Rattus norvegicus: one gene and its partners. The protein of the gene in region 2 purifies or fractionates together with the protein of the main gene of each other region. This does not show direct contact. Links are inferred from orthologs where the notes say so. Each region holds a gene or a part of one and is shown on either strand. Other genes may lie near its edges. The genes, in order: Ncoa6, Paxip1 and Pagr1.

Region 1 (5,153 bases), on a different chromosome or scaffold from region 2:
TCCACTGCACCGTGCCAGGCTCTTTAAAATGGGTACTAGGAGTCAAATTCAGTTCCTGAGCAATCACTTTACCAACTGAGCTGTCTCCCTAGCCTCCTGGAATAGAGAACTTCTAAACAAGGAGTGATATTACTTGATGCCATTGCAAAACTCTTGCGCTTGGGAAGCAGGGTAAAGTAGCTTATACTTATAATGCCAGCACTACAGAGGCTGAAGTAGGAGGACCGCTACAAAGTTAAAGCCAGCCTAGACTACAGAGTAAGTCCTGTTGTTTAAATAAGTAAATAAAGACACCTTCTACTCAAAAAAGGGGGAAAAAACCTTCTGCTCAAAATTTCTTAACAAGCTTAATAAATTGCTAGTTCTTTTTTTTTTTTTTTCTTTTTTTTTTTCTTTTTTTCGGAGCTGGGGACCGAACCCAGGGCCTTGTGCTTGCTAGGCAAGCGCTCTACCACTGAGCTAAATCCCCAACCCCAAATTGCTAGTTCTTTACCAATGGTAAAATCTCCAAAACCCATACTTTATTGGACTTTCACGCTTGGTTCCTAAAAAGCGAGTCAGAGTATTTGACAGGCTCTGATGATCCTCCTTTATTGGTAGGACGTTGTTCCCTATGACCAGCCAGCCCATCCCCTGGGTAAACTTTACACAGGAAGCTCCATGACAGGACAGAGCAAGGTACCTACCTCCTTTATAGCTTCCTGCTTTACCTTCAAACTGGAAACCAAGATGCTAAGATATGAACGGAGTTGGGGCATATAATCCTTCCAACTCCCAAGTGATGGGACAGCTATCTTAGCTCTCCCCAAGGTGTTAAGTGTCTTCTGTGGAAGGTACTATAGCAGTCAAAATTGTGGACTAAGGGCAAGAAGCACTTATTTTGGCAGCTGTTTTTCTTCTTCTTCTTTTTTTTATTCCTTTCTTTTTTGTTTTTTTGTTTTTTTTTGTTTTGTTTTGTTCTGTTTTTTGGGATAGGGTTTCTCTGTGCCACAGTCTCAGCTGTCCTGGAATTTGCTCTATAGGTCAGAATGGCCTTGAACTCACAGAGATCCACCAGCTCTGCCTCCCGAGTGCAGGGATTAAAGGTCTGAGCTATCTTGCCTGGCTCAGCAACTGTTTTCCATTAGGCCAAGTAAGATTTAAATTTTCATAACTAGAGAGACAGCTCAGCAGTTAAGAGCACTGACTGCTCTTCCTGAGGTCCTGAGTTCAAATCCCAGCAACCACATGGTGGCTCACAACCATCTGTAATAAGATCTGATGCCCTCTTCTGGTGTGTCTGAAGACAGCTACAGTGTACTCACATACATAAAGTAAATAAATCTTTTAAGTTTCCTTAGAAACTGTTTAATGAAACAATTCTAGTATCCTACCTACATTTGAAGCTCAAATGAGCCATCTTGAGATGGCTCAGATTTAAGAATACTTGTTACTCTTGCAGACCTGGGTTTGGTTTCCGGCACCCACTCACAACCATCATAATTCCAACACTTTCTCTCTGACTTCTTCGTGTATTATATGCATGTGATACATATACATACTTGGAGGCAAAAGTCTCACTTAAAATAAGTCCTAAAAACAAATACAGGAGATGCAGTCAGTGCATTGGCATGGCACGTGCTTGCCATGTACAAGGATTCAGTCCCCAGCACGGCCCGTTAGAAACACTGAAATGTTCTTACCTTTTGTCACAGAGGTAATTAGGAGAGACTTCTCTGTTTGCCATTACATGACATCTCTACTACAAGGCTGTAGGGACCTTTTTGTTCTGTGTGGCCGAGCACAATCTTGAACTTCTGATCTTTCCTCCACCTCTGAGGCGCTTTGATCACAAACATGTTCTAACACACTAGGTTTGTGCAGTACTGGGGACAAACCTAGTGTTTTGTGCATGCTAAGCAAGGACTGTGCCACAGACTTATAGTCACAATACCTGAAAACTTTTTTATAGTGTAGTTATTGCAAGAAAATGGTAATTTCCTCACAAGTCCTCCAGGGTCTCTCCACCTAAGTATTACAGTGTCCATACTATCCTGCATACTTCTTTCCACATACCTCTTATCTCCTAATTATAAACTCCCAGAAGGGAGTGGGGAATTTTGAGTTTCCGAGTCTCTTCCTATTCTCCACTTGTTCCCATCCTGCCCCTGCTCCTACCCACAGTTTGTGGGCCAGTTTTGAAAATAAGTGTTGAGACTTTGAAGCCCTCTGACACTAAGCAACTTCGTTAGTGATTGCGGTCGCCTTGTGCTTGTTAAGCTGGAACATGCCGCATAGACTAGGACTTCAGTTTCCTGTAATTCCCGCGTTCTGGAGGGCGAGGCTCAAAGTCATGAGTTCAGAGCTAGACTGAACTGTATATAGTAAGGCTTAGGTTAGGTTATAATACTGAGCTAGCCTTTTTTATAGTAGTAAACATAATTCTTCAAAATCAGAAAAAAGTAATTTTTATGTAACTGTCTTTAAACTAAATCTGCATTTTACTCTGACTATTTTCATTTTGTAATTTTACTGTCATTTTCAGGGGAAGGTGCTATCAACCTGGCTTTGGGTCAGAACCGAAGCCAAGACGTGAGAATGAATGGACCCGTGGTATCTGGAAATTCCGTTAGGATGGAGGCAGGATTTCCCATGGCAAGTGGTCCAGGTGAGACTCCTACTCATTTTGTGTAAATTTTACCAGTTTCCTTTTGGGAGCTTGATTTCTTACAGTACTGAGTCTTGCCATGTAGATGAGATATAGAGCGTGCTCACTTCTATTTCTTAGAACAATGACAATGACAATGAACTACTCAGAGAGGTAGCAGTGACAGAGCCTGAGGTGATGGATTTATTGTCTTTGGCCTGAAAGTCTGGTGAACACTGAGTCATGGAGTAAACATTTATTAAGTACCGAGTATATGATAAGACCTATGCTAAACATTGGAAATAGAAATGAGTAAAACATGGGCTGGAGAGATGGCTCAGTGGTTAAGAGCACTGACTGCTCTTCCAAAGGTCCTGAGTTCAAATCCCAGCAACCACATGGTGGCTCACAACCATCTGTAATGAGATCTGATGCCCTCTTCTGGTGTGTCTGAAGACAGCTACAGTGTACTTAAATATAATAAATAAATAAATCTTAAAAAAAATAAATAAATAGTTTAAAAAAAAAAAAGAAATGAGTAAAACATTTTCCATCTTCAAGCAGAGGCAGGTGGATATGAGCTTGAAGCCAGTAAGGTCTGTATAGCAAGTTCTAGGCCAGCCAAGGCTACATATGAGATCTTACCTCAAACGAAAGAAAAAAATTGAGGACAGAAGTGAGTGAATTAAAAACTATAAAGAACAGCACCATCTGTTTCTTTATAAAGAGCGACTAAGCTGGGGTGGAGGAGCTCCACTGAGGCAAAGTTTACCCAGCAGGTACAAAGCCTGGGTTCAGTCTCAAACACTGCATAAAACCCCGCCTATTGATCCATGTTTATAATCTGAGCAGTTGAGGAGTGGAGGCAGGAGGATCCCGAGTTCAAGGTCGTTTTCTACTATATAGTAAGTTTGATGCCAGCCCAAGCTACACAAGACCCTGACTCAAAGAAGTGAATAATTCTGTTGAGAAAGGGACAACTAAAAGTGATTTTTAATATGGGAAGAGTTTAAAGAAACATATTCTTAAAGGATAAATATTACACTATGTAAATTAATTCTTAATATTAAAAAAAAAACTGGAGTTAGATTGCACACCTGTAATCCCAGCATTTGAGAGGATGAGGCAGGAGTTTTTCCATGAGTTTCAGGCCAGCCTGGGCTATGTAACTCTGTCTCAAAATACAGGCAGAGGGGTTGGAGAGATGGCTCAGCAGTTGAGAATTGCCTGCTTTTTTGGAAAATCAGGATTCAGTGTCCAGCACCCACATAGTGGCTCATAACCATCTGTAACTAGTTCTAGGAGATCCAATACCTCTTCTGGTCTTCACAAATACCAGATATGTAAGTGGTGTACACACATATACGTGCAGGCAAAACATATATAAACAGAAAAACTTTTAAATCTAAAAATAGTTCTTAAAAGAAAAATTTATATATTTTTTAATGTTTCTAAGGTATGTCACTAAAATAAAAATTATAAACTGAGTGTGGTAGCTGGCACATGTAGTCTCAGCCCTTCCTTAAGCAATTACTGTGACTTTCAGACAGTCTGGTCATCACACACATACGTGTGCCAACTCCAGAATATGATCTCAGGTGTTCTCTCTTCTAGGACTAATAAGAATGACAAGCCCTGCCACTGTTATGATGCCCCAGGGCGGGAACGCATCATCTTCCATGATGGCACCAGGCCCCAATCCAGAACTGCAACCCAGGACTCCTCGCCCTGCTTCTCAGTCAGGTAGTGTCTTCCGTCATTGGGAATTAAAGAAGCCGGCGTTACTTAACAGATATCATTGAGATTCAGCCACTGAGGCTGGATTCCTAACTAACTGCTCAGTTCCAGAATTACCATCAAGTCTCACAACTAAATGTCAATGTTTCTTCTCCAAATTTCTTGTTATTTTATCATCTATTTTCCAATGTTCCCAATGCTGTCCTAGTTAAGAGTTTCTATTGTTATGAACAGACACCATGACTACAGCAATTCTTATAAAGGAAAACATTTAATTGGGGCTAGCTTACAGGTTCAGAGGTTTAGAGCATGGTGGTATGCAGGCAAACATGGTACTGGAGAAGTAGTTGAGAGTTCTAGATCTGGATCAGCAGACAACAGGAAGAGAGACTGACACTGGGCCTGGCTTCAGTACTTGAAACCTCAAAGCCCACCCTTCATGACACCCCCTTTTTTCAACAAGGTCATGCCTCCTAATTATGTGCCACTCCCTATGAAGCTGTTCAGACTCCCCATTCAAACTACCATATATACCTTGGGATGCTTAGTTCTGTAAGATACACCATGACAGAATTTTGAAGTCATATGAATTTGTTACATGCTTTTTAAGTTAACATGTTATATCACTAAGCTTCCTACAGTAAAGAAGAAATTTGTCTGAAGTCTGTCTAGCATTTCCCAAACCTAGTTGACTGTTTTATCTTGTTTTCCTATAACAATAATTGCTCAGAATAAAATTTTGAAAATGTTATCTATATTTTATGTTTGATTTACTAATGAGCCATAAGCT
Region 2 (5,153 bases):
TCCCACCCTCCACATCTGCTGTCTTGAAAGTATCTCACTGAACCTCATTCCTAAACTCTCCACAGAAAGGTGTTTTAAAGTGTGTTTTCAAAACACATACTCTCAGGGCTTCCTCCACACCCTGCTCTTAGTCTTGTCACTCAAAGAAGAAGGGAAGGCGTCACTACCGTACCATGGCCACTTGCACAGCTGGAAGGCCCCAACTGTGTGAGGCCCTGGCTAGCCCAGGGCACAGCAAGCCCTCCCTCCCTCAAGCCCTTTTAGGAGAGTTACCCAGGAGGGAAGTAGAGCTGTCCCTGGCTTCCTTAGCTGGAGGAAACAATCTCCACGCCTTCCTTGTCTGACCTGCCAACTCTGGTTCTGTTTCACCCAAGAACTTAGCTGCCATGTACCCCCTGCTGCATTAGTGGCTTCTAAGTAGAGGTCTCTGAGCTAGACACCTGTACTCATTCTCACTCAGCTCCCACATTCCTCTGCTGGGCAGGCCGCAGAGCACTCAGAAATCACCACCCTCAATCGAGCTACAAGCTGTGCTGAACCAGAGACCATGTCCTGGCCTTGATCACAGTCTCCCTACACCAAGCCCTCAATCGTTCCTGCTCCAGTACTGCTCTTCCCCTACTCAGTACGACAGTGTGTCCATCAGGGGAAGCTATTCTGGACAGCTCTGTTCCCTTCTCTGTCCCAACTCCATCACGTGGTGTTGCAGGGCTGGAGGCTTAGCACAGAGGTGGACCTCTTATTTCTTGAGAGGAAGAGAAGGCAAAAATCAGAGAAAGACCAAAAGGCAAGGCGGCTGCCCCTGTCATCCTTTGGAGGCTGCAAGCAGACTTTAGGAAGCCAACTGACTGGGAGTGCAAAAAACCTTGTGCGACACACAAGAGGCCCTGGGCCTAGTCCGCCACACCCCACAAACTGGCTGTGTAGCATGTTTTAACCAAGTGGCTGAAGGAAGTGTCCTATCTCTGGAGTTCAAGTTCTAGAGCCTCTGCCTCAAGCCAATGAAACCCCAAACTTCACTGTTTCATGACTTCGGATTCATGAAGCCTCTCAATGGCCCATTCCAAAGCTCCCAATTCTTCCCCACTTTTCTGCCCCTACAGCCCCAACACCCTCTAGCTCTCCAACCCTATCCACCCGGGGAGCCAAGTCTATGCCTTACCACACACCTCAGATCTAACTACTCCATTCACCCCTTTCCATACTGCTTGTTAGGAAAATCCAAATCCCTCTACTATTGTATCTAAAATGGTATTGGAAGACAGACAGCCTTTGTCTTTTGCTCTCCCTGACTCAACAACTGCCCAGGACAAGACTTGATGAAAGTCCCCATTAGTGCCGCAGGGGCACCTTTATCAGGCTGCTCTGGCTGGATCGTCCCCTCCTATCCTTGCTGTAAGTCCTCCTGTGAACACATAGATCACCTCTACCAGCTTAAACAAGCCCCGTCCAGTGCTGCTCTATGGACATCACCGCCCAGCTTGCTTCTGTGCTGTCGGCTTGCCCATCCTCTCCCAACTCAACATTGCTGTCTTGCTGTACGCTTGGCATCTGGCAGAGGCTTAAGCACCAGCAATGCTTATAGCAAACAACACTTCAGCTATGCTTCTATCCTAAACTTGGTTTTTATCTAAAAGGGGAGAGGGAAGGACTGCTCCGTTTTGATTTGTAGCATGATTGCAAGAAAGACTTTTTGAAGTTTTCTTTTTCATCCATAAAAAAGAACGAATTAAAAAGAAAAATATATGAACTACCATTTCACAATTATACCAGAAGACAGTTACATGTAACCATTACCCCTGAAGGAATTTTAAGAACCAGGAAGCCCAACACTCCATGTGGTACCTCAGTATCAGAAGTACAGAACATGATGGGCACCTCCCATGGAGGCAGCACTGATGAGGGCACCCGTCCCTGCCCACCAAAGTGCACACATGGACGCTGTTACATGAGGCCAGCCAAGCAGGCGGCCATCCAACCCAGTCAAGCACACAGCTCCTGGCCAGCCGGCTCCCCCAGCTCACCCTCTTCCAGGTGGCCAGCAGCTGCTTGTCCGACATCTGCTCGGGATAGTCCGCAATGGCAAACACACAGCCCAGCAAGAAGCTTTCTTCTGGAACTAGAGGAACAGACATGAACACAAATTAAAAGTGCATTTTGATGAGTTTAGTTTGAATCCATAATCTAACTACCTCTGGAATGTTGCTACAAATATACTGTCTAAAAACTAGATCATCAGAAACAAGACATAATTTAGGTCTAAGCACTCAATCTCAGCATTGCTCCTGAGGCATCCTTGATGCTCTGACCACTGCTCCTCACTGCAGTATGTGCAAATGTAAAGAACCCTAATTGTCTCACTGTAATGCCTGCTCGACAGGTATGAGACTCACACTCCACGTGCTAATTATCTGACAGGCCCCATGCTCCTATGCAAGCTTGTAACTTGTGGGAAAATAGGAACCAGTACTAACTCTCCACTGCTGGGTCATGTCCAAAAAGCTGCTGCTGCTGCTGCTGCTGCTGCTGCTGCTGCTGCTGCTGCTGCTGCTGCTGAGGTGGGGGCTGCAGGGGCAGCTGCAGGGGCTGCTGGGGTAGAACCTGGTGTTGTAGTGCCTGGGACGTTTGGCTCAAGTGTGCTGCTTGATTCTGCATCTGCTGCTGCTGGTGCAAGCGCTGGAGCTGCTGCTGCTGTTGCTGCTGGAGGAGGTTGTGCTGCTGCTGCTGCTGCTGCTGCTGCTGCTGCTGGAGCTGTGCTAACTGGTGCTGCTGGAGCTGTTGCTGCTGCAACTGATGGAGCTGCTGCTGCAGGGCATGCTGCTGCTGAAATGGCTGCAGTTGCTGTTGAGGGCGATGCAACTGCTGCTGAGGGTGTAATGGTTGCTGTGGAAACTGGAGCTGCTGCTGAGAGAACTGATGCTGATGGACTTGCTGTGGGAACTGATGTGATGGCGGCTGGGGGTAAGGCTGGGGCTGCTGCTGCTGCTGCTGCTGTTGCTGCTGGAGCTGCATGATCTGGGGCTGGAGGTGCAGGGCTGGGTGCTGCTGCTGAGGCTGCTGGGGAGGATGGTGCTGCTGCAACGTGTGTGTCTCAGGAGCACCTTTAGCCTGGCCAAAGAGCACAGCACTGGCACTGGGGTGTCCCTGCTGTACATGTGCCACCTGCTGCTCTAGGTTTTTTGTGGGTGCTGAAAGGGATTGTAAGATCTAGAAAACAAAAAGAGGGTCAAGTTGCTACTGATAATTGCTGAGAGGCACTACCCACTCCTAGGCGAGTAACAGTGCATTCATGCAGCTGATATGCCCAACGGCTACAAAATGGGGACCAGACAACAACATACTGCTCTCACACGTACACTTTGTATTCAACATCCAGAGAGCAGGACACTGAATTATAAAGGAGAAAATGGACTAACAAACACAGGAGATGCTCTGCAGCTGAAGTGTTTGCTACCTAAACCTAGCAACCTGAGTTCAAGTACTGAACCCACTGTAGAAAAGACAAACCCAATCCCTCCCCCACCCTCTGCCCCGCCCACCACCACACACACACACACACACCCCACACTGGGGGCACTGATTCACAGAGCTGCTGCACCTTAAAGAACGGGGACAGGATGGCAAAACAAACAAGTGGCAGTATTTGGTGTTTTACAGGCCTGAGCAGCCTGGGCAATGTCCCCAGCAGCCCCCCTCTACTGGTAGCCTGGCCTGCTTCTGACTAGGGTGCTGTGGAGAGTGGCAGCTTTGGCTCAAGCCTCTCCATGGCAGAGCCATGTTCTACCCCTCCTGCTTCTAGGAGTTACCTCTACTCAGGCGGGGGATCCACTATTACCACCAAAACAACTCAGGCCGCAGCTATACCCAGCATAGCTCCTGTTCCTCCCACACTGCACCTTGCCCCCAGGCAGTGGATGTAACACAGAAAAGAGATGGAGGGACTCTAGCAAAAGGTGTTCTTAAAGGCAAATGTTAGCTGGGCTTGATGGTACAGACCTGTAATTCCAACACTTGCAAAATGGAGGAAAGACCATCAGGCATTCAAGGTCAGCCCTGGCTATACAGCGAGTTCAAGGCTAACCTGAGCTACACAAGATAGTATCCTCAAATTGAATTGTTAATATTGTTGTGGGGGGGGGGGGGAGGCTGGACAGTAGGCATGCCAGCCTGACAAACCAGAGCTCTGTCTCCAGAACCCACATAAGAGCCAGGCACAGGAGGAGCGCATGTACCTGAGATCTTAATGCACCTACAGGGAGAAGGAACCAGGACAGCCTCCGACTCGGAGATCCACCTACCTAAGACTAGAGAAATCAGGAAGCTCGTAGGTCACACAGACTAGCTACACAGCAGTGAACAAGAGAGACTCAGTCCCAAATAGGACCAGACACTTAACGTCTTGCTCTGACCTCCCCATGAGCACTAGCACAAGCACATCCACACACAAGGATAAACATGCTCCCTTTAGTAGCAGTATATTAAAACTGGAGTGAAACAGAAAATATCCTCAAGCTCACGCAGTCTCCAGCCTACACAAAGAACTACAGGCAACCAAGGACAGCTGAGAGCCATGGTTATCCCATACCAAACATGCACACATACAACAGCATACAGACTAAGCGGGTTCTCTTCATCTACTTAGGTGTACACACACAAAGATACGTAACAACAATGAATGGAAAAGAAGTCATGAATCTGAAAGACAGCAAGGAAGGGTGAGAGGGTTTGGAAGAAGGAAAATGATGTAATTATATTAAAATCTCAAAAAATAAGAATAAGGCTCATGAGAGCAATCTTTCTTTGCTTTTGTTTTGTATGAATTCATAGGCAGCACCAAAAACAGGACTAGAATGGATGGCTTCCTGAGAAATCATTACAGCTGTTGACTCTCCTTCCTCAAACAAGGCGAGGCAACAGATGGGACAGACACAGCGATGGACGCCACATGAATAGGCAAAGCAGCCATCTGCTACACTGATGTCCTCTGCACTGACAACCCATCCACAAGGACCCTGAAGAGAGGCCTCGCAACACAAGAGCCGCTGCCAGGACAGGCATGGGAATCTGCAGCCAGGCAGGCCCTCTAATCCAACTTCTGGTTCTAAGAAATCAGTAGAATACAGCAGACTTTGGTATCTATGTGGGAAGTCGTG
Region 3 (5,819 bases), on a different chromosome or scaffold from region 2:
GGGACTATATCATCCTTGCCATCCTGTCCTGCTTCTGCCCCATGTGGCCTGTCAACATTGTGGCCTTCGCTTATGCCGTCATGGTGAGCTCCAAGGGACCCCGGCCCAAGTGTACTATGGCTCCCAGCTTCCTGCCAGTGTCAGCCCAGAGCCCCAGTAACGACACCTTCCCTCACCTCTCTGCATGGATCCCACTTTTCCAATTGCCAGGCCTTTGCTTGCCTCTCACCTAACCCTCCAAGGCACTACTGCCCTTCAAGTGGGAGGGAAACAGATGTTTCATATAATCTTGCTGACCTGTACCCATTTCCTCCTGCATCCCCAATTCTCCTTCCTTAATCCAATGGGGCTGTCTTCCCTCTGGACTCTCACCTGATCCCTGCTGGGCTGGCTCCTGCTGACCTGGGCCATGATACCTCCAAACCCCTCACCCTCACCCCAGTCCCGGAACAGCCTGCAACAGGGGGACGTGGATGGGGCTCAACGTCTGGGTCGAGTAGCCAAGCTCTTAAGCATCGTGGCGCTGGTTGGGGGGGTCCTCATCATCATCGCCTCCTGCGTCATCAACTTAGGCGGTGAGTGGGGGTCGGGGACAGGAAGGGGAGGTGTGGAGGGTTGACAAGGGCAGCTTTACTAACCCCTGACCCTGCTCTCTCCTGTCTGTCCTCCCTATTCCTTTGTCTCTTCCTTCCTCCCTGTCTGTCTTTCCCTCTCCTCTCCCACAGTGTATAAGTGAGGGGCTCTGCCCTGCATTCCAAGACTTTTCTTCCTGTTGGGAGCTGTCTTGGGTCCATCCCAATCCTGGGAGAATCCCAGTCCATGGCCCTGGCCCCCACCCCTAGGGACTGAGGGAGCCTGAGCGGGCCTTGTTTACAGCTTCTTCCCTACTCCTGCATCCTGCCAGGCTCCTCTGCCAGCCGTAGGCTTCCTTTCTCCCTGCACTTTTGCCTGCAGATCTCCCCTCCTGCCTCTTGACCCCCCTAGTCCTGCACTCTGAAAACCCCTCTGCACTTCTGGACGCCTCCCTGAACATCTAAATTGTACTCTGCACCTCCGCATCCCTCCCAGCCTCCTTGCACTTCTCCCTGCCCCTGGAATCCTCTGAACCTTAATTAACCCTGACCTCCCAACTTTCATTGTCTTGGTATCTAACCCATCCCTTTCTTCCCTTCCCTAACATTCTTTCCCCTTGCCACATCCCCTGACCCCTTCTCATCTTTCCCTTAGCGTCTTCACCCTCCTGCCAACACTTAGTCTGCAAAACCTGCAGTACTTAGGTCAGGCTGAGGGAAGAAGGATGGTGTGGGGAGAGGTCTGCCTAGCTAGGGGCTCTGACTGTTCTCTACTGGGGACCACCCAGGCCCAGATCATACCCCCACCCTAACCCCTAAGGTGCCTATTGGGTCGCAAAGCTGGCAAGCCAGACCTCACCTGGGGTACTTGCACAAGAGTGGGAGTCCTGGTTCTGAACATTCAGGGGAGGAAGGGGTATAGCTGTGGCTGAAGAGTCAGCCTAAATTGACCTGCCCATTTGGGCTTTTTAACCTCAAGAGTTTCTCGAAGGTCCATTTATGTGCTTTGTAAACAGTAGAATTTTAAAAAAAATTTAAAAAGGACCAAAGTTCTCAACTGCAGGGAGCAAGGGAAGGGCGCGAGCTCTGTAATATTCTCTAAGAGGACGAGGGAGGTTTGTTGCACGCGACAGCCCACTGAGGAGGCAGAGAGCCAGCTGCGATGCATTTCGGAGTTGGTCGGTGTTTTTTTTGTTTGTTTGTTTGTTTTCTTTCTTTAAAAAAAGTTGGGGGGAAAACTAAAATTCCTTTAAAAAAATAAAACTGAGTCTCCCTTTTTGTATGCTGAATGCTGCATGAGTCTTAAACACTAATAAACAGAGAATGCATGAGACTGGCCTCAGTTGGTCCCTGTGTTGGTTTGCAGAGTCAAGGTACTGCTTTCTGGCAGGCCCTAGTGAACGGAATACGCATGCGCTGCCGCAGTGGCCATCTTTAGTATGGGCCGAAGTTAGTGATGCCTGAGGGCCTCATTGCGCATGCGCAAGTGGTCTCTTTTTTTTTTTTTTTTTTTTTTCCCCTTCCAAGTAGTTTTGACTACCACGGAGCCTCCGCGCGCCATTTCTCTGCGCCTGCGTACTGCGATCCTGCGCAGCCAGGGAGGCGGGTTTTAGCTCCAGGTTTGTACCGCTGCTGAGTAGACGCGAACTAGGTTTGCCGGGTTTAAAAAAATGGCTTCCATCCAGGTGATGGAGAAGGCGATGTGAAAGCGAGAAAGCAGGCCCTTCCCTTTCCAGCTCCGAGCGTGTCTCCTGCCGGTCCCTGGGAACGGCAGAATTCTGGATCCGTGGGGTGGGGTCTGTCCTAGCAGGGACCTGAGCGCCCCCTCCTGGGGACCGTGCTCTGGCCGCAGTCAGTTGTTGGACTGCCTCGTTGGTGATTTCTTAGACCCCCACTTGATCTAAAGCCTTTTGGGTGAGGCACCCTGGTTTGGTACTCCAGAGTCTCCTATATTGCTGGGCTCTTCTCTAGTACTCTATGTCCCTTGCCCTGGGCCATGGAACCATTGCAGGCAGCACAGCGGCGCCTCTGTCTGAAGAAGGGGAAGTGACTTCCGGCCTCCAGGCTCTGGCGGTGGAGGACACTGGAGGTCCCTCTGTCTCGGCTAGTAAGGCCGAGGAAGAGGGGAAAGGCAGTCAGGAGGAGGCCGGGCGTGAGGCATCCAGGGCTGAGGAGGCACTAGAAGCTTCCAGCGCTGTGAGCGACGAGCGTGCCGAGGGAGAATCCGAAGACTGGTGCGTGCCCTGCAGCGACGAGGAGGTGGAGCTGCCGGCCAATGGGCAGTCCTGGATGCCCCCACCCTCCGAAATCCAGCGGCTCTATGAACTGCTGGCTACCCAAGGTACTCTGGAGCTTCAAGCGGAGATCCTACCCCGCCGGCCGCCTACTCCTGAGGCCCAGAGTGAAGAGGAGAGATCAGATGAGGAGCCAGAGGCCAAAGAGGAGGAGGAGGAAAAGTGAGGCCATGCTTTACACATTATTCACGGGACTTCTCTCTTGAACACTGAAACTGGAGGGAGGGGAGAGCAGGAAAGGGAGAGGCAGCGGGCTGGGGTATGCCAGCAGGTGTTTGGGAGAGCTTCTCTCACCCTTCGCTTTCTGTCCACCCTGTTTCAGGCCGCACATGCCTACAGAGTTTGACTTTGATGATGAGCCAGTGACACCCAAGGACTCACTGATTGACAGAAGACGTACACCAGGTAGGAATGAGAGGGAAGAATTGAGGGGAAGTAAAGGGCCTCTTTTAGTTACCTCAGAAGAGGGCTGGTCTGAGGCCTTGGCTGATTTCTGCCGTCATGCAAGATGGAGCATTCACACAGTGGCAGCCTATTTCTGACTTAGGTCAATGCTATACTTTTCTGTCAGAGACCCACAAACCTTCCCAAAAGTCCAAGATCTCCTGACATCCCAGCCCGTCGCCTTTCTAGAGTTTACTTTCAGAATCATTCTTGAGCTCTCTCCCAGCTGGTTAAGCCAACAGCAAGTTGCATTAATTAGCTCCACTTCTACAGTTCCACCTTCGATTTCTCTTGTTGACACTTTTCACAGTTCTAACTAGTATCCGCAGTCCTGGTCTTAGCAACCAGAGTAGTCCTTCTAAGTGAAGTCTTGTCTTTTCTCTGCTTGTACTCCTCCAGAGGATTCCATCACAGGGAAGAGCATGTCCAGTGCCTCTGCCCCAGTGCCCTGTACTCAGAATAAATCTGCCTCCTGCCCCAGGACCTTTGCACTTGATGGCTATGTTCCCCAGCCATTGCATTATGGGTATCTTAGCTTAATATCAGCCATCCTGTGTGTGGCCCAAACCTCAACATTTGCTTCTCTGTGCTCCCCAGGCCTAAAAAGTATGTATTTAACAAGATCTCTACGTGTAGGGGCTTGGGGATGCTCACTGGCTTAATGGTGTCACATTTCCTACCTTCTTAGGAAGCTCAGCCCGGAGCCAGAAACGGGAGGCGCGTCTGGATAAAGTCCTCTCAGACATGAAGCGACATAAGAAACTAGAGGAGCAGATCCTTCGGACCGGGAGAGACCTCTTCAGCTTAGACTCAGAAGGCCCCAGCCCTGCCAGCCCTCCACTCCGATCCTCAGGAAATAGTCTCTTTCCCAGGCAGCGAAAGTACTGACTGTTGCTGCTCTGGCCTACAGGTGCAGACTGTTTTGTGCTGAGCATGGCCGGCCTTTCCCATCCCAGGCTCTTGTAACAGAAAAAGCCTCAAGCTCCCAGCGCAGTGCCTTGCAGGAGAGTGTGTGTGTGTGTGTGTGTGTGTGCGTGTGCGTGTGTGTGTGTTGTTGTTGTTGTTGTTGTTGTTTAGTGTCTGTTTACAGTTTTGAGCTGGATATGCTGAATCTAATAAAAGATGCCTGATGATCTTTTCAGAGGAGAGACTGCCGCTCAACCCAAGCACATGTTCTTACTTGGGCAGAGGCAGAACTGTATCCCTCCACAGTGATATACTGAAGCCAGATGAGGCAGAGGTGCAGCCAGCCATCATCTAACACCTCCCCCTTACCCCAACCCCCCTGCCCCCCCCACCAGGTCCTCTGATTTCCTAGACTCATCCAACCCCACCAGTTAGCACTGAAGCAGAAATCGCCAGTCTGGGAGTATGAACCTAGCTGCTGTGTCTTCAGTGCATCCTGAAGGAGGAAAAGATCCAGTTGCAGGGCCCTTTAAATACCCAAGCTCCGCCCCTGCCGGCCCAGCCCTTTAGGGAAGTCCCGCTTGGTGAGGGAAATTCCTGACCTGTGGCTTGCAGCTGCCAGCTACCCTGCTAAATGTGAGTACAGATTGTGACCCTGGCGGGACCCCCCCAGACTCCAACCCAGGGGTCTGTTCCAAAGGCTCTCTCTAGTCTTCCTGCTTTTCAGAAATCTTTCTTGTGACTGAGACAAGAACACCTCAGTCACAAATTACAGGAAGGGAGGGCGTTGGTGGCTCTGCCTTGTGAGGTTTCACTTTCTATGAGTTTCAGGGTTTGAAAGCACCCTGTTAATGTCCTCAACCCCAAAACCTCAGGCCTCCCTGACATCAGGGTCTCCCCAACAGATTATAGGTGAGGGGGTACTTTTGTCAGGCCCAGTAGCACACATGTGCTACTCCCTGCTCCGTAGCAGAAGCGGAAAGATGCCTTGAGCCCAGGAGTCCTGAACCAACTCAGACACGTAGCAGGAGAGACCATCGTTTTCATTTCTCTTGTTTGGTTGGTTGACTTTAGGTTTTGTTTTGGTTGGGTGGTGGTGGTGGTTGTTGAGAAAGTGGTCTTGAACTCTCTGTAGCCCGGGATGACCTTGAACACCTGACCTTCTTGCCTCCATCTCCTGAGTGAATGCTGACATAGATTTCTGTCATCGCCATCAGTTTTATTCAGAGCTGGGGCTCACACCTAGGGTTTCATGTATTTGGGCAAGGACTCTGCCCTGATGGATGGAGTGTGGCACAGTGACATAGCACACCTATGTGTCCAGAGGTCCCTAGCACACTTTAAAAAGAAAAAAGAAACGGGGAACCTTACCCGACACAGTTCACACCTCTAATCCCAGCACTTGGGGCACTTGGGCAACTGAGGCAGGAGGGTCTCCAGAGGCTTGAGGCCAGCCTGAGATACAGTTCTACCACAGCTTAAGCTACTATGTAAAACCCTGTCACAAATAACAGAAGCCAACTGGGCAAAGTTACAGCTTCCATTCAGACTCCATCTGGTGGTGTCACTCCCTGAGGACCTGGGCTCTGCCTTCTCTTCAATG

The links.
Region 1: the proteins of Paxip1 (region 2) and Ncoa6 purify together in Homo sapiens (co-immunoprecipitation; 6 studies listed by BioGRID and IntAct, with this or other methods). This does not show direct contact. The link is inferred for Rattus norvegicus from reciprocal best matches to the Homo sapiens genes PAXIP1 and NCOA6.
Region 3: the proteins of Paxip1 (region 2) and Pagr1 purify together in Homo sapiens (affinity purification with mass spectrometry; 6 studies listed by BioGRID and IntAct, with this or other methods). This does not show direct contact. The link is inferred for Rattus norvegicus from reciprocal best matches to the Homo sapiens genes PAXIP1 and PAGR1.

Annotation. Positions count from the first base shown.
Region 1 is NC_086021.1:164,381,292-164,386,444, reverse strand, and holds part of Ncoa6 (nuclear receptor coactivator 6), read left to right. Parts: intron 1-2,524; coding exon 2,525-2,647; intron 2,648-4,240; coding exon 4,241-4,369; intron 4,370-5,153. UniProt on the Homo sapiens protein: Nuclear receptor coactivator that directly binds nuclear receptors and stimulates the transcriptional activities in a hormone-dependent fashion. Coactivates expression in an agonist- and AF2-dependent manner.
Region 2 is NC_086022.1:8,281,969-8,287,121, reverse strand, and holds part of Paxip1 (PAX-interacting protein 1), read right to left. Parts: intron 3,208-5,153; coding exon 2,475-3,207; intron 2,120-2,474; coding exon 2,025-2,119; intron 1-2,024.
Region 3 is NC_086019.1:191,051,867-191,057,685, reverse strand, and holds Pagr1 (PAXIP1-associated glutamate-rich protein 1), read left to right. Parts: upstream 1-2,185; 5' UTR 2,186-2,549; coding exon 2,550-3,028; intron 3,029-3,188; coding exon 3,189-3,271; intron 3,272-3,998; coding exon 3,999-4,198; 3' UTR 4,199-4,458; downstream 4,459-5,819. Other genes in the region: Prrt2 (proline-rich transmembrane protein 2), read left to right, coding at 1-83, 443-575, 726-736. UniProt on the Homo sapiens protein: Its association with the histone methyltransferase MLL2/MLL3 complex is suggesting a role in epigenetic transcriptional activation. However, in association with PAXIP1/PTIP is proposed to function at least in part independently of the MLL2/MLL3 complex.